7 linked regions of the Kluyveromyces lactis genome follow. The protein of the gene in region 5 purifies or fractionates together with the protein of the main gene of each other region. This does not show direct contact. Links are inferred from orthologs where the notes say so. Each region holds a gene or a part of one and is shown on either strand. Other genes may lie near its edges. The genes, in order: RPT2, RPN13, RPN2, RPN8, NAS6, RPN6 and RPN7.

Evidence for each region.
Region 1: the proteins of NAS6 (region 5) and RPT2 purify together in Saccharomyces cerevisiae (affinity purification with mass spectrometry; 3 studies listed by BioGRID, with this or other methods). This does not show direct contact. The link is inferred for Kluyveromyces lactis from reciprocal best matches to the Saccharomyces cerevisiae genes NAS6 and RPT2.
Region 2: the proteins of NAS6 (region 5) and RPN13 purify together in Saccharomyces cerevisiae (affinity purification with mass spectrometry; 3 studies listed by BioGRID, with this or other methods). This does not show direct contact. The link is inferred for Kluyveromyces lactis from reciprocal best matches to the Saccharomyces cerevisiae genes NAS6 and RPN13.
Region 3: the proteins of NAS6 (region 5) and RPN2 purify together in Saccharomyces cerevisiae (affinity purification with mass spectrometry; 5 studies listed by BioGRID, with this or other methods). This does not show direct contact. The link is inferred for Kluyveromyces lactis from reciprocal best matches to the Saccharomyces cerevisiae genes NAS6 and RPN2.
Region 4: the proteins of NAS6 (region 5) and RPN8 purify together in Saccharomyces cerevisiae (affinity purification with mass spectrometry; 5 studies listed by BioGRID, with this or other methods). This does not show direct contact. The link is inferred for Kluyveromyces lactis from reciprocal best matches to the Saccharomyces cerevisiae genes NAS6 and RPN8.
Region 6: the proteins of NAS6 (region 5) and RPN6 purify together in Saccharomyces cerevisiae (affinity purification with mass spectrometry; 4 studies listed by BioGRID, with this or other methods). This does not show direct contact. The link is inferred for Kluyveromyces lactis from reciprocal best matches to the Saccharomyces cerevisiae genes NAS6 and RPN6.
Region 7: the proteins of NAS6 (region 5) and RPN7 purify together in Saccharomyces cerevisiae (affinity purification with mass spectrometry; 3 studies listed by BioGRID, with this or other methods). This does not show direct contact. The link is inferred for Kluyveromyces lactis from reciprocal best matches to the Saccharomyces cerevisiae genes NAS6 and RPN7.

Annotation. Positions count from the first base shown.
Region 1 is NC_006042.1:1,360,731-1,363,768, reverse strand, and holds RPT2 (proteasome regulatory particle base subunit RPT2), read right to left. Parts: upstream 1,806-3,038; coding exon 501-1,805; downstream 1-500. Other genes in the region: RTG1 (Rtg1p), read left to right, coding at 2,133-2,753. UniProt on the Saccharomyces cerevisiae protein: The 26S proteasome is involved in the ATP-dependent degradation of ubiquitinated proteins. The regulatory (or ATPase) complex confers ATP dependency and substrate specificity to the 26S complex. Has ATPase activity.
Region 2 is NC_006040.1:245,012-247,446, forward strand, and holds RPN13 (proteasome regulatory particle lid subunit RPN13), read left to right. Parts: upstream 1-1,314; coding exon 1,315-1,935; downstream 1,936-2,435. Other genes in the region: guanine nucleotide exchange factor DCK1, read right to left, coding at 1-1,008; KLLA0_D02904g (uncharacterized protein), read left to right, coding at 2,166-2,435. UniProt on the Saccharomyces cerevisiae protein: Component of the 19S cap proteasome complex which acts as a regulatory subunit of the 26S proteasome, involved in the ATP-dependent degradation of ubiquitinated proteins.
Region 3 is NC_006039.1:807,379-811,372, forward strand, and holds the start of RPN2 (proteasome regulatory particle base subunit RPN2), read right to left. Parts: upstream 2,801-3,994; coding exon 1-2,800. Other genes in the region: KLLA0_C09306g (uncharacterized protein), read right to left, coding at 3,206-3,994. UniProt on the Saccharomyces cerevisiae protein: Acts as a regulatory subunit of the 26S proteasome which is involved in the ATP-dependent degradation of ubiquitinated proteins.
Region 4 is NC_006039.1:826,610-829,610, reverse strand, and holds RPN8 (proteasome regulatory particle lid subunit RPN8), read right to left. Parts: upstream 1,503-3,001; coding exon 501-1,502; downstream 1-500. Other genes in the region: COX10 (protoheme IX farnesyltransferase), read right to left, coding at 1-85; GTPase GPN2, read left to right, coding at 1,961-3,001. UniProt on the Saccharomyces cerevisiae protein: Acts as a regulatory subunit of the 26S proteasome which is involved in the ATP-dependent degradation of ubiquitinated proteins.
Region 5 is NC_006041.1:1,406,002-1,408,370, forward strand, and holds NAS6 (Nas6p), read right to left. Parts: upstream 1,194-2,369; coding exon 501-1,193; downstream 1-500. Other genes in the region: PHO81 (Pho81p), read left to right, coding at 1-385; prohibitin subunit PHB2, read left to right, coding at 1,792-2,369. UniProt on the Saccharomyces cerevisiae protein: Acts as a chaperone during the assembly of the 26S proteasome, specifically of the 19S regulatory complex (RC) and appears to have an overlapping role with RPN14.
Region 6 is NC_006041.1:136,878-139,974, reverse strand, and holds RPN6 (proteasome regulatory particle lid subunit RPN6), read right to left. Parts: upstream 1,779-3,097; coding exon 501-1,778; downstream 1-500. Other genes in the region: TPP1 (polynucleotide 3'-phosphatase), read left to right, coding at 1-407; dolichyl-phosphate-mannose-protein mannosyltransferase PMT1, read left to right, coding at 2,768-3,097. UniProt on the Saccharomyces cerevisiae protein: Component of the lid subcomplex of the 26S proteasome, a multiprotein complex involved in the ATP-dependent degradation of ubiquitinated proteins. In the complex, RPN6 is required for proteasome assembly.
Region 7 is NC_006040.1:1,236,818-1,239,916, reverse strand, and holds RPN7 (proteasome regulatory particle lid subunit RPN7), read right to left. Parts: upstream 1,728-3,099; coding exon 501-1,727; downstream 1-500. Other genes in the region: ERP4 (Erp4p), read right to left, coding at 2,039-2,665. UniProt on the Saccharomyces cerevisiae protein: Component of the 19S cap proteasome complex which acts as a regulatory subunit of the 26S proteasome, involved in the ATP-dependent degradation of ubiquitinated proteins.

The sequences.
Region 1 (3,038 bases), on a different chromosome or scaffold from region 5:
ATGGAACTTATCCAGTTATATAGCTCCTTGAAAAGACCACAAAGTTTTGTCAGTCCTTAAATATGAACTAATTGAACTTTTATCAAAAAAATTCCAATCAATAATGCAGTTGTTAGAAACGAGATAAGGAAAAAAATTGACAATAACTAATTGTGCTTTCTCTCGCAATCACAAGTCACAGGTTTCTTCACCTCGTATATACTGCAAGGCTCTTGTTAGTTTGCAGTTTATTTCTACTCATCTCATTATACTGTTGTCCTTTCAATCTTTAAAACATTTAAAGTTCAACTTTTCGTAATTTCTATATTTATCGTTTCCCTCTATCTGCCCGAAAAGTTGTGAAAGTGTAAAAGGTTAAAAATACAAACTTAGATTGATAAATCATTGCATAAATGTTGGCGGCAGGGAGATTGAATTTGGATATGTGAAGATATTAAAGATATTAAACTGTAGTATATATATATATATATATATATATATATATGAAGATTAATCCCTACTTATAAGTACAAACCTTCCAAGTTTTCTTCAACCTTATTTTTGAGTACACGTTCTTTTGCTTCCTTGAAATCTTGTGCTGTGACTTGCATTCTTCTTTCTCTTAGAGCCAAAAGCCCCGCTTCTGTACACATTGCTTTGATGTCTGCACCTGATAGGTCATCTTTTGAAGTGACCAAATTATCTAGGTCTACGTCCTCTGCTAAGTTCATCTTAGATGTATGAATACCGACGATTTTTCTCTTTGTTGTTATATCGGGGTTTTCGAACAAAATCTTACGGTCGATTCTTCCGGGTCTGATCAAAGCTGGATCTAAACTTTCGATTTTGTTTGTAGCCATGATGACTTTCACATCACCTCTATCATCAAACCCGTCCAATTGGTTTAAAAGTTCCAACATAGTTCTTTGAATCTCTTTCTCACCGCCACTGTTTGATTCATATCTCTTGGTACCAATAGCATCGATTTCATCGATAAAGACTATACTTGGCGCATTCTCTGCAGCGACTTTGAAAATTTGTCTACAGAGTCTTGGACCGTCACCTAGATATTTCTGAATCAATTCGGATCCCACAATTCTTAAAAATGTAGCAGAAGTCTGGTTCGCCACAGCCTTTGCCAATAACGTCTTACCTGTACCTGGAGCACCATACAATATGACACCCTTTGGTGGTTTGATACCCATTTCTTCGTATAGTTCAGGATGCGTTAGTGGCAACTCGACTGCTTCTTTAATCTCTTGAATTTGTGCCTCTAATCCACCGATATCACTGTAGTTTTCTGTTGGTGATTTATCCATCTTCATCACAGAAACCATTGGATCGGCATCGTCTTGCAAGACACCAACAACTGACATGGTCTTATGGTGTAATAACACAGAACAGCCGGGTTCTAATAGCTCTTTGTCAACAAAGGACAAAATGGAAACGTAGTAGTCTGGTGTCGTAGGGCTTGTCACTATAGCATGGTCATCGTCCACAATTTCTTCTAAAGTACCAATAGATAACGGAGTACCTCTGATATCGTCTAGCTGCTTCTTTTCTTCCTCTTGTTTCTTCTCAAATGGTTTCAAGATCTCAGAGTTTGTCACATACTCTTCTTCCAATAGCAAATGATCTTTTATACGTTCCATTCTCAAAAGTTTTAACTTACATCTTGTGCTTGGATAAACGCTAGGAAGTTTCTCCACCGTAGAGGGCCCCTTTCTCTTCTTTCTACCGAATTTTGATTCTACTGGTGGCTCATATTTTGGCTTTTGTTTCTTATCCTTTTTCTTCTGCCCATGAGAAGAAGCTCCTTGACCCATTGTTCGTGCTGTAACTTAACTTATACCTTGATGCCTTACTGCCAGCTAATAGTTCGTGCCTCAATGCAACTCGATAATTGGACGGTAACAAGCTGATATACCTAATGTTGTGCTGTTAGGCGTGTATCTTGTAAAGGTTGATCTTTAATTTCGCCACTGGCTTTTCTAATATTTAGTTATTCCAAATCCTGACTTTTGATATAAAATGAAATAATAACAGATGAAAACAGTTTGAATGCTGTGAGTTGGCAAGAAAAAGGTGAAGGAAAGTAGCATCAATACTGCATCTTACCATCGGTATAAGTCTCTATCTTACTAATTTTAACCATGAATGATGACGATGGTGCCAAGCGTGGTAATATCAATGAACTAATCCAACAATTTTTGAGTATTATTCCTGAAGAATTTTTCGAAGAGTATTATAGAAAGAACAGCGATCCTAAGATCAAAGACGAACCGGTTTCTAAATCCAAGGGGACCAGTGCAAATGCTAACAAGCCCACAAAGGGACAAATTCTAACGCAGGCGGTAGAATACGTGAATTCGTTACAGGAACAAGTCGATCTCAAGAACAGAGAAGAAGTCGAGCTGATACTAAGAGTTAAAGAATTGTGCAAGGAAACAGGGTACATTGTCAACGATTTGAACCTTGATAACACAAGCGCGGAGTTAGCGTTGTCCAGAATCGGCGTTGGTCCGTTAGCTGGCATGAGGGAGCAACCGAACAACAAAGGATCTAAAAACCAATTTGCCGGTACCAGTGCCGGAGCCAGCATTGATGCTGCCGCAGGAAATACCACTAGTAAAACCCCTGGCACCGCTGCCATGTCACCTGTGCCGCCAACAGGTTCGGTTGGTCCAGCAGGTATAGCAGCAGCAGCGCCAAAAGAAGGACCCAAGTATAGATTCGAATACGGTGGTTATAGTGAATACAACAATGAACCCTGAAATACAATAAAGAACCAAGTCACGTGTCATGATTAAGTCACGTGATACTATCACAACTGACGAAGAAAACATGGTCCAGCTTCGAATTTTTTCTAAAGCGAAAACACGAAACAAACTAAAACCCCGAAGACATATTTGAAAAGAACATGGCAACCACCTAATTATACCGGGTAGTGACGACCAGCAGACTTATCCGGCGACAGTTTCAGACATTTGGATCCGTGCGCATCCTTGATTGTTGAATTCTAGGTACAAGAGGTGGTAGAAGAGGCGTTGTTTCTCTCT
Region 2 (2,435 bases), on a different chromosome or scaffold from region 5:
TGAAGGTGGGAACGATTTAAATTTGGTATTTTCGTCCGGCTTCAATTTTAAATCGTTTGCATTGGAGACTGGATAATTTGTTGTCATGGCATATAACGACGTACTTGTGGCCATTAATTGAGGAGATACAGAATCCGTCAAAAGCTTACCTGTAGCCTGGTCGCGAGTCAAGATTGACTCGAACCCGAACGGATCAATCCTGTTCCTTTTCTGCAATGAGCCGATTTTTTTCGTCACTGAATGTGATGCGATGAACTTTGAAAATATGCTCATCAAGGCAGTAGCCTTTTTCATGATCAATGATCTTTCGTTAGTGGCCATAAAATTTGCTTGAAGTTGAATTCTGACTGCATCTAACTTGTAGTATAAGTCGACCATCTGATCCACGATTTCAAACTCACCAAATGAGTAAAGATAATAAATATGTTTTGTTAATGTGAATAAATTTAACAAGATTTCACGATTTAGCGCATATCCGTTTGCAACGAAAAATGGATATGGAGGTGGAGTTTCTCTTGAAACTTTCGAAGCACGCATTAATTGATACAAACTCGGTAGTTTTTTGAGTCGACCATCCTGTTGCTCTAATTCAGTACCAGTGGGGAACCTCAAGAATGCATAGTTCTCGATCTGCTCGTCAAAATCCAAATGAACAAATCGTCTGGGGAAAATCACTCGTTGAATTTTCTGTTTCGGTAAATTGTCAGTAACAGATCCCATATTGCTCATGAAGTCGATTGGCATTAAATCATTGCTAACATAACCACGGCACCATTTTCCATCCTTGGTCTGTTCCATAACAAAAACTTCATCGCCAGGATACAGATCAACATAATCCGATGATTTCAATACTAGCTCTGGACACTTCTTTAATGGAAGAAACGCTCGGGCAACAGTCCCTGGAATCAATCTATCAGTGGGGATCCATTCGAACTGTCTCAGTTCCGTGTGGTTTGCAGGTGTGTCGCTACTACCATTGGCAGTAGCATCATTATTCGATTTCGTCATTCGTACAAAAAACCACCACTAAATCAATAGTTGTGACGAAAATAGTTGCAAGAGATATCCGAAAACTAGCCAATTGTATCTAGAATTCCGAGTGCATTCACTGATCGGTGTTAATGATGTTGTACAAGTCCAACCCAATGTGCATTCACTTAGTTCTGAATTAAATATCCGTTCATGATGTGATGATTTCTACCATCTTAGTCTTTCCAAGCGGTTTCATAAGAAATTTTTCATAGAAAAATACTACCATATCTTGGTCACATGATTAAGCCTACAACATTATTCTTTTAAGGAAAATATGAACAAATGGCGTCAGCAGTGGCAAACTGTTTAAATAGGACCTACACACACGAAGATATCAATCATAGAACATCTGAGAGATTGTCAGACCAGTGGTATAGGTTTAAAAGAGGAGAGAAGAATATTGATATGACAGAGGCGATCAGTTTTAGGGCAGGAAAATGTGATTATGATGAGGAGAGTAAAATTTGTACGCCGAAGCAGATGAAGGGGGAGATCCAGATCAAACCCAGTGAAGAAGCGCAAGGGTTTTTCGATTTCCAATGGAGCACTAAGGATCGAGTCTCAGGGTCAGCAGTGGAACCAATTGAGTTTATTTTGATTCCCGGAGAGACGAAATGGATCGATATAAAGTCAGCTAAGAACGGCAGAGTGTTATGTTTACTCTTCTCTACTGGTGAGAAATGGTTTTTCTGGTTACAAGAAAAGCACCAAGGCAATGAATCGTTGAACGAATGGAGTGAAAAGGATAAAGAGTTACTTGCTAAGCTTCAGAAACTGTTGGAATTTGAAGAGGAAGAGGAAGAGGAAGAGGAAGTCAAAGAACAAGAACAAGAACAAGAACCGGAAAAGATGGAAATTGACCCTCAAGACAATGAACAGCCGAAGGCCGACTCCAATCCGTAAGTATATACGCGTTGTACATTACTCATTTTGAAGCAATAGATCAAAAATAAGGAACTGTAAACAGTATTTGAGATTTGATAGGCATTTTCAACGTCCAACTCTCCTTCTTTTCAGATCTGTTATTTCCAAATCATTACGATTTTATCATTACCAAATTAAACTATATTTTACTAATACTATGTCCTAGTACCATCCGTATAAACCATCTTTCTGATTTCCTAACTAAAGATATGTTAGTGAAGTATATTGGATCTCTTTCTGAGGAGTCTACCGAATTCAAAGAATTATGTAACTGTTTGCCTGAGGATGTCGAAAAGGGAAAAGAAAACCTTTTGAAATGTGTAAGAGGTCCATTCTTTCAGCAAGCAGTTGACATTTTGGACTTAGCTACGAAGCAGAGCTATTCGGGACAACAACTCTCACAAATGTTTGGATATTCGTATACCGGAGAAGGACCACGAGCTCTACTGGAAGGACTTAGAAATAAGGGCCTCCAGGAA
Region 3 (3,994 bases), on a different chromosome or scaffold from region 5:
AAAATTCAAGAGAATCCTCGACTTTAAATGAAGATGGTAATGGGGCATATATATCTTTTGTTTGTCTTACGGTCTTGATTAATTCTAGTGGTTCTTCAGGTGTCTTATCCTCAACGATAATGACACCTGAGTTTCCTCTGAATTTGCGAACAGGTACAAAACGGCTATCTTTCGCAAAAGATATGAATTTGAGTTGCTGCGGAAGCACACGGGTGAGGTTTTCAACATCATAGCTCGTTGTCGTGTATTTGATCTTAGCTTCTTCAGTATTCTTGGCCTCTTCCTTCTTTTTTTCCTCCAGTTCCACCTCTTGCTTTTCTTCATTTACTTTTTCTGCATCCTTTTCTTTAACCTTTTCATGTTCTCCTTTTTTACCTTTCTTAGCTCTTGCCTTGGCCTTGGCGGTAGTTGACAAGACGGCAGCTGCAAACTTTTCTATATTTTTGTCCACCTCTTCTTCGTACATGCGAGGATAGGTGAAAATTCCCTCCTTCGTATGACATTTGAAAGCAAATTTAGGAATTGCCAAATCGCTAGCACGCAAACCCACTAAGGTAGTTGGAGTGAACGAAAGCGATAAAAAGTGGGACAATGGGAACCAGTACCAAAATTGGGAGAACATCATTAAACCAATTATTGATCTACTGTTCAAAGTTCCCATTTCGGTGTTCTCCAATTCGATGGTTACATTCCTACCACCAGCGTTCATGATACCTTGGGCAATACAGGCACCGAACTTTGCTAGTCCTTCCTGGTGCTTGTTTCCAATTACTGACATGAACTGTTCATTAACTTCCTTCACCTTTGAATTCGTTTTTTCAGTCTGCTGAATCAATATCATTGAAGTGGCAATCATAGCAGCTTGACGAACATAATCAACTGGATCCTTCAAAAGAGGTTCTAATACATCCACAGCTGCCTGTAAGCCTCTACCAGCGCAGGATACACCCAAAGCGAACGCAGTACCACAACGGACATGAGCGTTATGTGATTTTGACAAAAGTTCTACGATTCTTGGGACGGTAGTATATTCACGAATTAACACGAAACCTAGGGCAGTGACTGCTGCCCTTCTAACATCGTCGTCGGAGTCCGAGACTGCGACGTGAAGAAGTTTTTTCACAGCCTTATTATTTCCGGTCCCTGCATGGGCTAAGGCGATTGTGTAGGCACCACCATAGCGTAACAGGGCGTTCTCACTGGCTAGTAACTTATCAATCAAGTCGTCAGCTAGTTCCTCTTTGCCGTAATTTATGAGAGCTAAGGCAATCGATAAACTTCTTGTGATATTACCGTGTTGAGTCTCTTCTGCGTAAGTTAACAAGTCCTGAATAACAGTTTGGTTACCTGAACCTAGTAAAATTAAACCAATAGCCAAAGCAGCCGCATCACCAGATTTAGCTGAGTCTCCATATAACACTTCTTTCAACATCTCACAAACATTCACATCGTCCGAGCCCATACCTGACAACCCAATACCTAAACAAGCACCATGTAGCAACACATCTACATCCTCTTCTCCAACGGAAGAACTATTAGCTTGAATTTGCTCTTTTAAGTAGTCAGTTGATTCCTTACCGTAGCCGGCAAAAATTAAACCTAGACCATATAATGAACCACCTTTGATATACCTCGATTTTGAACCATTTCCTGGCAAATAAGGCTCCATTATCTTTCTTCCATCTGAGAGGTTGCCTTGGTGAATAACACCTAGTGAAGCAGTAGCGGTAAATTTGGCCCAGTTTTGGGCTTTGCCTAACCATTGTAAATTTTGTCTGATAAAACTATCATCCGTAGTCCCTGCGTGCATAAAAGCATTGGACACACTCACAGCTGTGTGGAATAAGGAGAATTTACCATCCAAAGATGATTTCATCTTATTCAGAAGAGCCTTGTCTATGGTTTTGTTCTCAAATAGAAAAGTGTTTTGCAAATCGCAGGTGGGTATACCGGAAAGGATTTCAAGTAACTTAGGATCGTATACATTGGCGTCCAAGGAATTAGAAAGATCCTTCAATAATCCCTGAGAGGCTGAGTTTACTAGGTCAAAAGCGATTTGGTAGGAAACATCATATGATTTAGTTGAATTTAACTTGAAGAAGAGCTCCTTGGCAAATTCGATATCATTTAACTGTACGATAATTTTTGAGATAATAAAGTAGTCTGGGGCAGGCATGTTCATGACAATTTCATACAACTTCTTCAATACGCTCAATTTAAAGCGAGTATTGGTTAATGCAGTGGTACATACAGCCAATGTGTAAGAGCACAATTTGAGGGCATTAGTACTGGTGTCCTGGGAAGTGAGAAGCTTCTCAACAACATCAAGTCTGTAACTTTCTAATGCGATTCCCAATGCAAGTTTATACTCCCCTGAAGAAACACACTTCTTCAACATTCTCTCAAAGATAGAAACCAAATGTGGATCAATTTCAACAGGTTCCGATTCGTAGTTACTAGAAGCAAATTCAATATACATTTCGATACTCTGTGACACAATCGTTTCGACATATTGCGACTGTTCATCGATATTCAAATACTCTCCTGCAGCTAGGGCATACTTAACCGCTAGTTGATATTCTCCAAGGTTATAATACACTTTTGAGGCCACAATTGCTGCTAGTCTACGATCAGGAAAGGATACATCATCATACAATGCTTCTATTTCGGTAATATCATTTGATATCTCGGACCACTGTTGATCTACCACGTCTTTAATTGATTGTAATGCATGAGTCTTAACAGTGTTGTCAGATTCCTTCAATAACGCCAAAAGCGGCAATGCAGATGTAACTGACATTCTGGTTGAGTTTACGGCTTTAAATACCTTAAGTCTCGATGTAACCTGGTAATGTGCAGATGTGGTGCGAATAGTAAATGACTTTATTTATATACTTTTGAAGCTTCTGTTCTAAAGTTTGCCACCGTTTGTCAAATTAAATCAGAAACCATACAAAAACTACCCTAATCGTATAGAATGATTTTATAGAGCCTCTTCAAGAATATGCTCTCCACCTCCATCAGGAAATGTGCTTTGCAAGATAGTCGCAGTTGTCCAGTTGATCAATATTGCACCATTTACAAAATCGAGAAGCACTATTATCATGCATACAATATATAATTATACGTTCTATCCTTTATCTATACCGATATTATAATTGAAGTGAAAAGCAACTAAGTTGAATTAGTATTCTAACATAGCATTTTAATATAGTAATCTGATTGAAATCTTGTAGTCAGTTTCGTTCAACTCATCGTATATTTGTTTGATATCACTTTGGTTAACATTTGAAATATCAGCCATCAAATATGCGATGTCCCCGTTAGAATCAGAGAACTGCTTTTCGATGTTGTGGTTGGACAAGATGTTGTTGACAGTTTTCAAAACACCAGGAACATTTTGATGGATATATAGTACACGTACAGTGTTTTCTTGATCCAGATCTAATGCTCTTAATGAAACTTCTGGGAAGTTAACGGCACCGACGGTGTTACCTTCGTTGATGTATTTCGTTAGTGCAGTAGCCACTTCGATACCAATAGAACTTTGGGCTTCTTCAGTAGACCCACCAATGTGTGGAGTCAAGATAACATTTGGTAAGGAGACCAAATCAGTTGTCCATGTGTTCAAATTATCACTGAAGGCACCAGCACCATTCTTAGCAGGTTCATTTGGATACACATCCAAAGCGGCACCGGCAATCTTGCCCGCTCTCATTGCTTGAATCAAAGCAGGAATATCAACCACAGTCCCTCTAGATGCGTTGATAACGTATGAGCCATCCTTCATAGCAGCAAATTGAGGACCAGACAATAAGTTTTTAGTTTCTGGAGTAGCTGGAACATGACAAGTCACAAAGTCAGAATTGTTCAACAATTCATTCAAAGTAGAAACCTGCTTAGCAGTACCCAAACTCATAATAGTGACAATATCATAGTAGAGAACGTTCATACCAAGAGCTTCAGCCAAAACAGATAATTGAGAACCAATATG
Region 4 (3,001 bases), on a different chromosome or scaffold from region 5:
AACTAAACCCACGCCCCGATATTAAAATACTGGATAAGTTGGGGTTCAATGCCCTCATAAGTAGAGGCTGGATTACCAGTGACATACTCAATCTTCAACTAGCAGTTGATGGAATATATTATCTTGGTTAACTGGGCCTCGGTCTGGTAAATACACTGTTGTCTCAGAATGGTTTTTACCTTCAAAATTGTGCGCAATGAACAATTTCCTCGATCTTTAATCTTCATAAAATTTTCTTATATGAAGAGATGCGAATTTGATATATTAGAAGGAATCAATCTGAAGAGGTTGACGAGAACTAACGAACCGGTACCGGAGATCCATTTAATTCATTGATCAGTTCCATATCGATGCCAATGGTGCTGATCTTAGATATAGACATACATACTGCTTCATTTAAATTCTCATTAAATTTTTAGGAAATATGGCGTAGTTGTAACTTAGTATACAGAAAATACTATATTTGATTATTTTCGTTTCGGTTTATTAAAAGAGTTGCATCAGTTCTTAGTAGGTACCGAATTCGACTCAGCAGGGATGCCGTCATTAGTGGCATCCTCCTTTTGTTCTACTTCAACTTTCGAATGCTTTTCAAGAAGTTTCTTATTTTGAATTTTGTTCTCAATCAAGTTATCAAATGCAACTATGGCTCTGACCAGATTACTTATGTAAATGATCATTAGTTCGTCATTGGTTTTAACTGTGAGGGCTTTTTCCAAATTGTTGGTAACATTGTCTAAGACATGACTTGAGCCGATCATTTCATCTTTATCTGGGGTTCCGAGGTTTGGAAGAAGATTGAAAATGTCTTGCAATTTTCCTAAAATTATGTGGTTCACAGGTAACTCGTTGTTTGCCACTTTTTCCAAGTATGCTACTATGTCTTTCAATTTTCTTTGCAAGCCCCTAAGAGAATTTAATTGATTAGTTAGCTTTATAGATAAACCAGCTGCAGCTTGATCACGGACATCTTTGAGTAGATGTTCAACACCAATTTCTTCCGCCTCGTCTGCTTCCACAGTGCTTGGGATATGTATAAAGGTCCGCTCAGTCGAAGTACCATCATCCTTGATCTGTTCCACAGCCACATATGCGTTCGTTGGTAGTCCGATATCCTCTTGTTTCACATCGAGTATCAACAACACGGGATTATTGTTGGTACTGTACTTCTTGAACAACTCGTTAATCTTTAAATCAGAAGCCCTTAATTTCCCACCACTGTGATACCAACCAATTAGCTTCTCTTTCGCATTGATCTTTTTACACATCTCGTTCATGGTCTCGATGTAGTTGTGATCTAGGAACCAAACGTCTGGATTCTTCTCGTCTTCTTCGAACGGCAACGCAAACGAATTAGTTATCCTCACGGTTGCCGTGGAACTATCACCTAGAATGACACCTAAACATCTCTTGTTCTCCGGAGTATTTGTACGCTGATGATGGTCTAATACGGAAAGTAACACCAATGGTGCAACTGAAACTTGTTCGTAAGGTACAGACATTATCAATTGGTTGTTGCCAAGCTGTTTCCAATTTATAGTTTGATTTCTATTCTCTTAGCTTATCAGAAATGCAGATTGACTAAGCACTTTTTTTGACTCTCTTTTATAAGTAAACCCCAAAACGCTAGATTGGTCACGGTAATTCAATTAGTACAATCTCAAAGTATTATCACAGTTTCGCTTTCAGGAGTGTATAGATCTTCAAGTGCCCCATTATTTCAGGTATTTTTGTCAAATTAATATTTGCCACTAATGTTCTTAATGCTATTTCATTTTTTTTATTTTCAAATCTCGAAATATTAGGAACTGCGAAGCGAACATAATTCAATGCTTAATATTAAAAAGATTCTGTGCAATGAGATGAGATGAAAGGACATGTTTATACGGTTAGGGAGGAGACAAGACGGCTTACGGTTTGTACGAAGACCTTGGGTATACTCTAGAAAATAAATATAAAGATGCCATTTGGCCAAATTGTGATTGGACCTCCAGGGTCTGGTAAATCAACGTACTGTCATGGTTGTTCCCAGTTTTTCAATGCAATCGGAAGACATGTTCAAGTGATAAATATGGATCCAGCCAACCATCGGCTCCCGTATCCGTGTTCGGTCGATATTAGAGACTATATCACGCTAGAAGAGATTATGTCAGAACAGCATTTGGGTCCGAATGGTGGGTTAATGTATGCGATAGAGTCTTTAAATGAGTCGATCGATTTGTTCATATTGCAGATCAAATCGTTAGTACAAGAGGAGAAAGCATACCTAGTCTTTGACTGTCCCGGGCAAGTCGAATTATTCACACACAATTCGGCGTTGTTCAAGATTTTCAAACGACTAGAGAAGGATTTGGATATCAGGCTATGTGTTGTGAATTTGATCGATTGTATTTACATTACTTCTCCCTCGCAGTACGTTTCGATCCTTCTACTTGCACTAAGATCGATGCTAATGATGGATCTTCCACACATCAATGTCTTCTCAAAGATCGATATGCTAAAGGGATACGGAGAGTTGCCTTTCAGATTGGATTACTTCACGGAGGTCCAAGAATTGGAATATCTAAATCCACTTATTGAGAAGGAAGGGTCGGGTGTATTAGGGAGAAAATACTCAAGGCTCACTGAAACCATCGGTGAAATGGTCTCTGATTTCAATTTAGTTTCTTTCGAGGTCCTTGCCATTGATGACAAACAATCGATGATCAATTTACAAAGTGTTATAGATAAAGCGAACGGATACATATTTGGTTCGAGCGAAATAGGAGGAGATACAGTATGGGCAGAAGCTAGTAGACAAGGCGCAGCCATGGTCAACTACGACGTTCATGATAGATGGATCGAAAATAAAGAGACGTATGATAAACTAGAAAAGGAAGCACGTGACCAGCAGCTCAAAGAAAGGGAAATGCAAGCAAAAGAGATCGACGTCAACGAAGACGACGAATGGGAATCGGCGCTCAGGGAATGGGAAGAAAAACAAGGCACCAACTATGTTAGG
Region 5 (2,369 bases):
CCCTGTGTTGTTCGATATGAATGTTATTTCCGAGAATAGTGATGGTGATTTGGTGAAAATTACATCTAATGACCTAGCGTCCATGGCACTCGATACTAAAGACATTATTTATGGTGACCCAGGTACCATGTCCATAAAGGATGCTGTTATTTTTGCTAACAACAATAACTTGTTGGGAATGATCCTTCCTATAAATTTGTTGGATATAACCCTACAGTTGGTTGATCAAGTTCTTGGCCATGGTTTATTTTTGATTGGTTCTACCAATGGAACAATCAGTGAACATGAACAACGTGACCTTGGTATTAATGGTATTCAATATAAGGAAGAATTGGTCATCCATGAAAACTCCGAAACTGCTGATAGGGAAGCCAATTTTATTTAATCTTGCATTTTGTTTTTTTAGAATCTTCTACACATCAATCGTTATAAGCTCAATTTAATGACTGTTTCAGGTATATAAGCATACATTAACTACCAGCCCCTTCGAATTGGATAAATCATTCAACCTTTGACAAAAAGTAATCCTTCACTTTTGCGTCAACACAGATTTTATCTATGGACAAGTCATCGTTGTCGGTTTCTCCTTCCCATAATGCATGATACTTGTTGACCAACGTGACAGCAACATCGCCGTGACCTTCTGCCAAAGCATGGAACAAAGGAGACCATCCGTTTTTATCCTTTATATTAACAGGAGAGTTTTTATCGCATAATATCGACACAATTCCCACTGAACCGGAAGCTGCAGCTCTATGCAAAGGCAATTGACCAAGGCCATCTTTAATTCTCACTGAAGCTCCTCTTTCCACTAAAAGTTGAACCACATTTAAATGCTTCTTAGAGCAAGCTAAATGTAAAGCAGTGATCCCATTATTAGCCTGTAGATCAAGGTTTGGTTCAACAGTATGATTAAGTAACTTTTCAAGAATAGTAACGCTACCGATAGAACTAGCAATGTGTACCGGAGACCAACCAGATTCATCCAAAATAGTGTCCAAATCAATTTTCTTCATATAGGACAACAATATATCAATTATGTTGTCTTGCTGGAATGATACTGCCCAGTGCAAAGGATATCGGCCATCATCATCTTTAACCTTCACTGCGCCCGGAAACTCACTTAATATCTGTTGAACCTTTTCGGTATCTCCGTTCATACACGCAGCATGTAACAAAAAGTCAGCACCCATAGTTTGAATTGTTTATTGTGCTTTCAATGTTTTACAAATACACTGATCCCAGGACAGCTCTTGTATGGTTCTGACCAACCAACGCTTGTATGAAATAAGCTGTCTTTAAGTTGAAACCCTTTTTAAAGGGTTTTTACCTCATATCAAAGAAATAAGAAACGGCAGTGGAAAGACTTGGTACACCTGGACGAAATCTGGGTACACATTTGGAAAGCTGACAGGTTTTAAGTACTAAATAGGATACTTATGGGTCTCAGATAACATTCAACTTCCCGGTGCCTGGCTATACCACCATGAGCAGAGGCTAGAGTGTTGATGTTTTATCACGTGATCCGTGCATTGTGACAAACATATTTTCGGGGATGTCGCCCCTTCTCAGATGTTAAGTGGCAAAGTGAGAAATGAGCAACTCAGTTCGTTGTTTGAAATTGCTTAAAGGGAAAGGGTTCAAGCAAAGGAACTAGGAGGTTACGACAATCGCAGCAGTAATATTATATATATAACCGCACATTGCCCTTTTCTGATTGGCTGTAAATTTGAAACAAAAGCTGTGTTTTTACCCCCCGCAAAGTTATTATAATTTAATCAAAAGAACGCAATGAACAGATATCCAGGTGATTTTGGTAAGTTTGCCAGATCTGTACAAAGACAATTGGCTCGTGCACAACAATCAGGTGGTAAATATCCTTCCGGACAGCCTCCTCGTGGTGCCTTTGGGGCTTTAGGTGGTTTATTTTTGTTGATTGGTGGTGGATTTTTGGCTAACGAAGCTCTTTTCAACGTTGATGGTGGTCACCGTGCCATTGTTTATTCACGTATCAACGGTGTTCAACCGAGAATTTACCCAGAAGGTACTCATTTTATCATTCCATGGGTTGAAAACCCGGTCGTCTACGATGTGCGTGCCAAGCCAAGAAATGTATCGTCATTGACCGGTACTAAGGATTTACAGATGGTTAACATCACCTGTAGAGTGCTATCCAGACCTAACGTAGAGAATTTACCAATGATTTACCGTACTCTCGGTGTTGATTACGATGAAAGAGTGCTTCCCAGTATCGTGAATGAAGTTTTGAAGGCGGTGGTTGCCCAATTTAATGCTTCTCAATTGATTACCCAAAGAGAACGTGTCTCTAGATTGATTAGGGAAAACTTGGTGCGTCGTGCTAAGCATTT
Region 6 (3,097 bases), about 1.3 Mb from region 5:
TTGATAAAATTTGCAAAGTATTGAAATACATATCGGAAAACGATTCTCAACTGTGTGATCGTATTTGGATTTACTGTGCTACTAAAAAACCAGCTTCCCTTTTTGGTGGCAGCAAAGCCGCCAGCACTGCTCACGCAAATAAAGTTGTTAAGAACATTATTTCTGGCCAGAAGAAAAGAATAAACGGGACAATGGTAACACCTGAAATGTTTGATAATGTGAGAAAACCCAATCGTGGTTTGTTTGATGAATTTCTTAAAGATTCTGACGAACAATCGGACTCAATTGAACTTTTATTTTACTGCGGGGATGCTGCAGGAAGACCAAATGATTTTAGTGACAGTGACAAAGAGTTTGCTAAAATATTGGGCGTACCTTTCAAGGTACCGGAGGAATACTTTATTTGAATTTCGAATGATCTTAAACCTACGTAAAATATATTTATTTACTAAGTTACTTTAATGATTGAAGGATGAGCGTATTATAATGAATTTTTAATTTTAGTATAATACAGCGGCTTTTTCAAAGAGTTGTTCTACAACTCCATTGAGTTGATTGATCAATTCTAACGAAGAATCATAAGTGGCATCCTGTTGTGGTGTCTCATAAATATAAAGCCATCCGTTTCCTTGGTCAAGCACACCAAAGAAAACTTTGTCTAAAATCATTTGTGAAAGTTTGCCCTCTACTTGTTGAGCATCAAGCCCGATAATCTTTGAGATATGCGATACTTCAACACATTCGAATGGTTCGATGATCTTACTAAGATTTGATTCCAAAAGGGTGTCGTATAATGCATTGAAATGTGATCTAATGAGTTCATCGCCCATCAATTCTGTCTTATAATTTTGCATTGCTGTATTGAACTCCAGTAGGGATCTATTATTATAAGCCTCAGCGACTGCCTTCATGGCGTCAATTCCGCGACTTTGGTAGGTCTCCTTAGTATATTTGGCGTTCAAGATAGTTTTCACTTCATCAATCAAATTAAGCATGATCTTTGAAAGAAGCATATACTTTAGCACTTGACAAGCTTTTCCGAATGTGTTTGAGCCAGTTTGGCTGTGGAAGGCTTCAAAGGATTCATAAAAGTATGAGAAAGCAGTCTTATAATCTTTGTCTTCACAGTGTAAGATACCACTCATTAAATCCAATTCTGCCATTGTCAATGTTGGACAATAAATCGAATTTGCGGATGTTCTAGCACTTGTCAAAGCAGCCTTTGATTTAGTCAAATTTCTTAATTTATGGTACACTTTACATTCCAATAGATGAACTTCGAGCAAAGACGATTTATCGTCCAATTTCTTAAACTGCCTCAACAAATCATTGATCAATTGCAAGGATTCGTTGTAATGCGTCTTTTGGTAGTAAAGAGTTGCCAACCTAATCGATAGAGAATGCTTTAAAAAGATTCTCTTCTCCTTTGTGGCAAAGTCGATCGAATCTTCGCATATCTCGATTTGGGTATCCAAGGAATCGGGTATCAATTCGAAATCGTTAAGTAACGTCTTTAAAACTTTGGCAATCTTTGATTTCGCTACTTTCATCATGTATTCACGAGAGCGTGGTACAAACTCGGCGAGTTTCTTCAACTGATGTGTGGTACCATACAATTGACCTAGCTCAAGAATACATTGTTCCTTTTCTTGAGCATCTTTATTGCTAATTGATTGGGGTTGTGCGGCATCTTGATGGTTCAATACTGCTAAGAACTGCGCTTCAGCCTTCTCATAATCTTCCTTCCCTACAAGATTTCTAGCTTCTTCCAACGACATATCTAAGTGGGATTATTTGCTTTCTTTCCTGTTCCTTTCGTAGTTTAACTTCAGCTTCTGCTAGACGATCTCTGGCAGGTGTAGCGCCAATTGTGTCTACCTCGATGTTTTCGGTTTGCCACCTTATTTAATTTACTTTAACTATAATCTCTTGGACAAGATTATATATATCATTCTACTACAGAAACTGGTTCAATTCAAGGCGATCATTTGGTACGTAACTTGAATAAGGGTAGACTATTCACGTGACTTATACGTCACGTGAATCGAAATTAGATTTCCTTTACTGTCCTAATCTTAGCACAGATACATCCGCACGAAAAAAAGGAAAAATAGTCGCGTTTCGTCCTCCGTGATGTGTTTACCATTCCTCGAGAATAGCACGTGAAAGACCCTTCACTGCATTCACTTCAGCCAATCTTTAAACTCCTCACTCTCATCTGCCGCATATGCTGATCGGTACTGGTAATCCACATCCTCAGGTTCATTGTCTCTCACATGTTCTGCAGCAATTACACACCTGTAACTCATAATTTTCACCTCAAACACCTAAAATCACCTATTTGTAGATATCTGAAAGAAAAAAAACTTAATTTCACTGAAAGCTCGGTATGGGTAAATATTATATAAATATATTTGAAATAATAGTATGGATGAAATTAAACAGAGACGTGTTCATTTTGGCAAGTTTTGGGTGGAATAAACTTAGGTTTTCTTTTGCAGATAGAGGTATCAGTCGACCAGTATCTGTGGGAAACTTAGATAGGAGCTAGACAATTTCAATTGGGACCTTTGAACTGGAATTGAATTTTTGAATTGGTTTTTTTTTGTTCTCTCTTCTCAAACATTTAGTTACCATTTCCAAGGCTTTTTCGAAGTGAGAAAACATCTGTTGTCTGTATCTGTATCTGATCTGATCTGATCATTGATTGTATTTCTCATTGTAAAGGTATCTCAGTCTCACTCTCTGTTTGATTTTGTTGTAGAAAATGGGTAAGACTAAGACCTCTACTAAAGTACAAGATTGTGTTCTCGATGTTGATAGCGTTGGTGACATTCAAGTTGAGAAAGGTCCATTGAGACCTTTCTTGGTCACTGAGCCACCAAAGAATTTGAAATCTATCCGTACGATGACTTCTAGTAAAGAACGTTTGGTTGTTATTGCATTGGCTGTTATCGCATCCGTTGTGAGACTTTGGAACCTTTCGGATCCAAATTCCGTTGTTTTCGATGAAGTTCATTTCGGTAAATTCGCAGCTAAATACATTAAGGGTATCTTCTTTACCGACGTCCATCCTCCGTTAGCTAAGATGCTTTTT
Region 7 (3,099 bases), on a different chromosome or scaffold from region 5:
ATCCGGTAACTCCATCAGGAAGTAATCCAGGAAGTAGTAGTCTCCTCTCTCCTCTGTTCGTTTGCGTCGTTAACACATACTACCCTTATTTTCTCGTAGTGTATCGTACTAAATCCTTACACTCGGCCTCTGTTGGGTAGCGCTGCGACCTCTGTGCACTTTTCTTGGTTGTTTTGCTATTTGCTTTGCTATTAAAGCAAAACCTTTACGGAACTTCCTATGAACCCGTTAAAGAAGACAACGTTAAATATCCATTTCCAGCCCATAGCAAAAGACGTAACTGGCGATCAGAATCCGGTATAGCGATACTGAGAATTGTAAGGTGAAGAGGTCTAAAATGAGGGTAGCCCTAAGAGTCTTTGAGGCGCATTCTTTTTCGGTTTCTCATTACAAAGCAAAAGATTAGTGTCTCGACCCTATCGTTGGTTTTATCATCGCATCGAAATAATACTTGTTCGAGCTATATACTCTGTATAATTACTATACTGCTACTACTACCACTATATTATACGATCGGTGCCTGTAAGCTTAACAGCCGCACCATACTTTTGTAGTTTTGTAATCAATCCATCACCCTGTTTTACGAGAAGTTGGTATTGAGCGTTCTTGTTATCTGGCCGATTTGTCTCTACTATACCGTTGACACGGTCGATGACACAGTTGAGTTGTTTCGTTGGTATGAATTTGCTTAGATCTTTGTCTAAGAAATCTTCAGAGACGCCGAATGCACCAGCCATCGATTTTATCGAGAGCGTCTTGTAAGATTCCAATAGTTGAGCGTAAACCATTCTTCTCATTTCCCTTACAAAATAATCGGCGTGTTGGTTCAAATATTTGGAGGGCAATAGCACTTTGTCGTAGGTCTCTAACAAATATGGGAAATAACTTTTATATTCGGAAGTGTAAAGTGAAATGGAAAGGGAGGATATGGATTGTAACGCTGGCGTCGTTGTCATCAACGCTAGCAAGTCAGGCGAATCGATAATCTTTTCCTTCAAATCAGTCCTTTCAAATGCAAATAACCCAGTAACGAACGCGTAGGTAGCGATGTTCTCATACGAGGTAAGCTCGGTAGAAGTGAAAGTGGCTAACGATTCGACTAGTAAGGACGCAGCGGTCTTGAAATCTCTGATGGCCATCGAATGGATCCCCTTATAAGTCTTGTATCTATTTCTTCTTTCCCAATCACCACCTTTCTCAATCATCGCATTGACTCCTTCTAGCTTCTGCTTCACGTAATGCTGATCGTTGTAGAAGAATCCAAGTCTGGTTATAGTTAACATGATATCGATCTTGGCACCAGTAGACACAGCTTTATCCAAGGCCTTGGTCAACGTTTCCTCGGCGTTGTCTTTATCACCAATCTTTGCATAATACTCACCTAAATTGATCCAGGATTGAGCCTTCTCCAACTCACCTTCGTCTTTCTCTTCAATTTCAGTTAAATGATCCTTTAACTTCTTAATCTCTTCTTCGTTCTTCGCCACTAACGAATCGTAAAAGGATTGATCCCACTCAATGGCTCCCGAGGGTAACTCTTCGCACACATGTTTATAATATGGAGCCATATGATCTTCTCTGATCAGTTTCAACAAAGCATCCCTTGAGGCTTCATGTAGATGAGAGAGATTCCCTTGTCCAAGGACAAAAGCATGATCGGATGCCTCGTAATTTGGCACACGATTCACACTAGGATCCACGTATTGAACTTCAGTATCTTCAGACATAACGTTTGTTTCGAATTGTAACTTCCCTGGTACGCTAAAGCAGCTTTTGATGCCTTGTTCCCCTCTGTTTGATGGTGGCAAATGATTGTGTTCTTCCTATATTAGATGTGTTTAAGTCTTAGTTCTTACAATTTGTTAACGAATTACTTACCCGGATATTCACACATATACCGAAAGCCTGTGAGCCTTTCCTCACAGGATCCAGTAACCTTAAGATGTCATTGTGCAATGTACGCTGTACTACGTATTTCTATCCACGCATATGTACATACTTATATGAAGCGGTCTCTTGAAAACACGCCTTCTTTCCTTTAAACATAGTTTCTTTGACGATCTTTGAACATGAAATGGACGACGGTAGCTTGTAAAGTACTGATACTGGCCATGATACCCATTGTCAAAATGGATAGCCATACAATACGGGACTCTGTAGATTGCACAGTCGACATATTTCTCCATTCTCTGGCTCTCAGGTAGTCCATCATCTTTCTGATCTTGTTCAAGTTTCTGTCGATCTCTTCGATTGCATTGTTCGTGATCACATCCTCTGGATTCTCCTTCTCGGACCCCATAGTCCTCTTTTCCAATTCTAACGTAAGTTCAACTTTCTTCAGCGCAGTACCGTGAGTGTTTGTGAAACAGAACTTGTATTGACCGATACCAAACGATTTCAATAGGAAATCAGAGTATTTCTTTTGTTTCTCCGAGATAATGACGGATCCATCTGGGGAAGTGATTTCGAAATCGATTTCAAAGTTGCCACCAGTCAACACTTGGTAACCTACCACTAAGGCGTCGTCAGCAGACATCAAGTCATGGTATAAACATTCTTTTGAGAATGCAGGTAATGAAATCGCAAATGGTGCATAGTTACTGGATTCTGCCGCACAGAATCCACTGATAAACACCAATAGAACTGAAACAATAGAGTATAGCATTATTATATCCTCGTTCCTCGCTCAATTGACTTGGTAATAGCGATATATAGTGGTCTTAAGTAGCATAAAGGTAAACAGATAACCAATTTTGATTCAAAGAAGAGACGTGTTTTATTTCGACGAGTTAACACTGAACAAATTCGAGTTTTTTTTTTTAGTGTTTGAGGGTGGGATCGTGTTTTTTGTCAGTCACGTGTGTGGATGCTCTATTGTATGGTGGCAAAGTTGTCAAAGAAAGGAACATCAAAATTATATAGGGCGTGTGGTCTAGTGGTATGATTCTCGCTTTGGGTTAATAGCCTAGCGAAGCTTCGATAAACGAAGTTTAACTACTGCAAAGCATGCGAGAGGCCCTGGGTTCAATTCCCAGCTCGCCCCAATTTTGATTTTTTTTTCCTTCTACTACTAGCCAATTAGTATCTGCTACACTCACC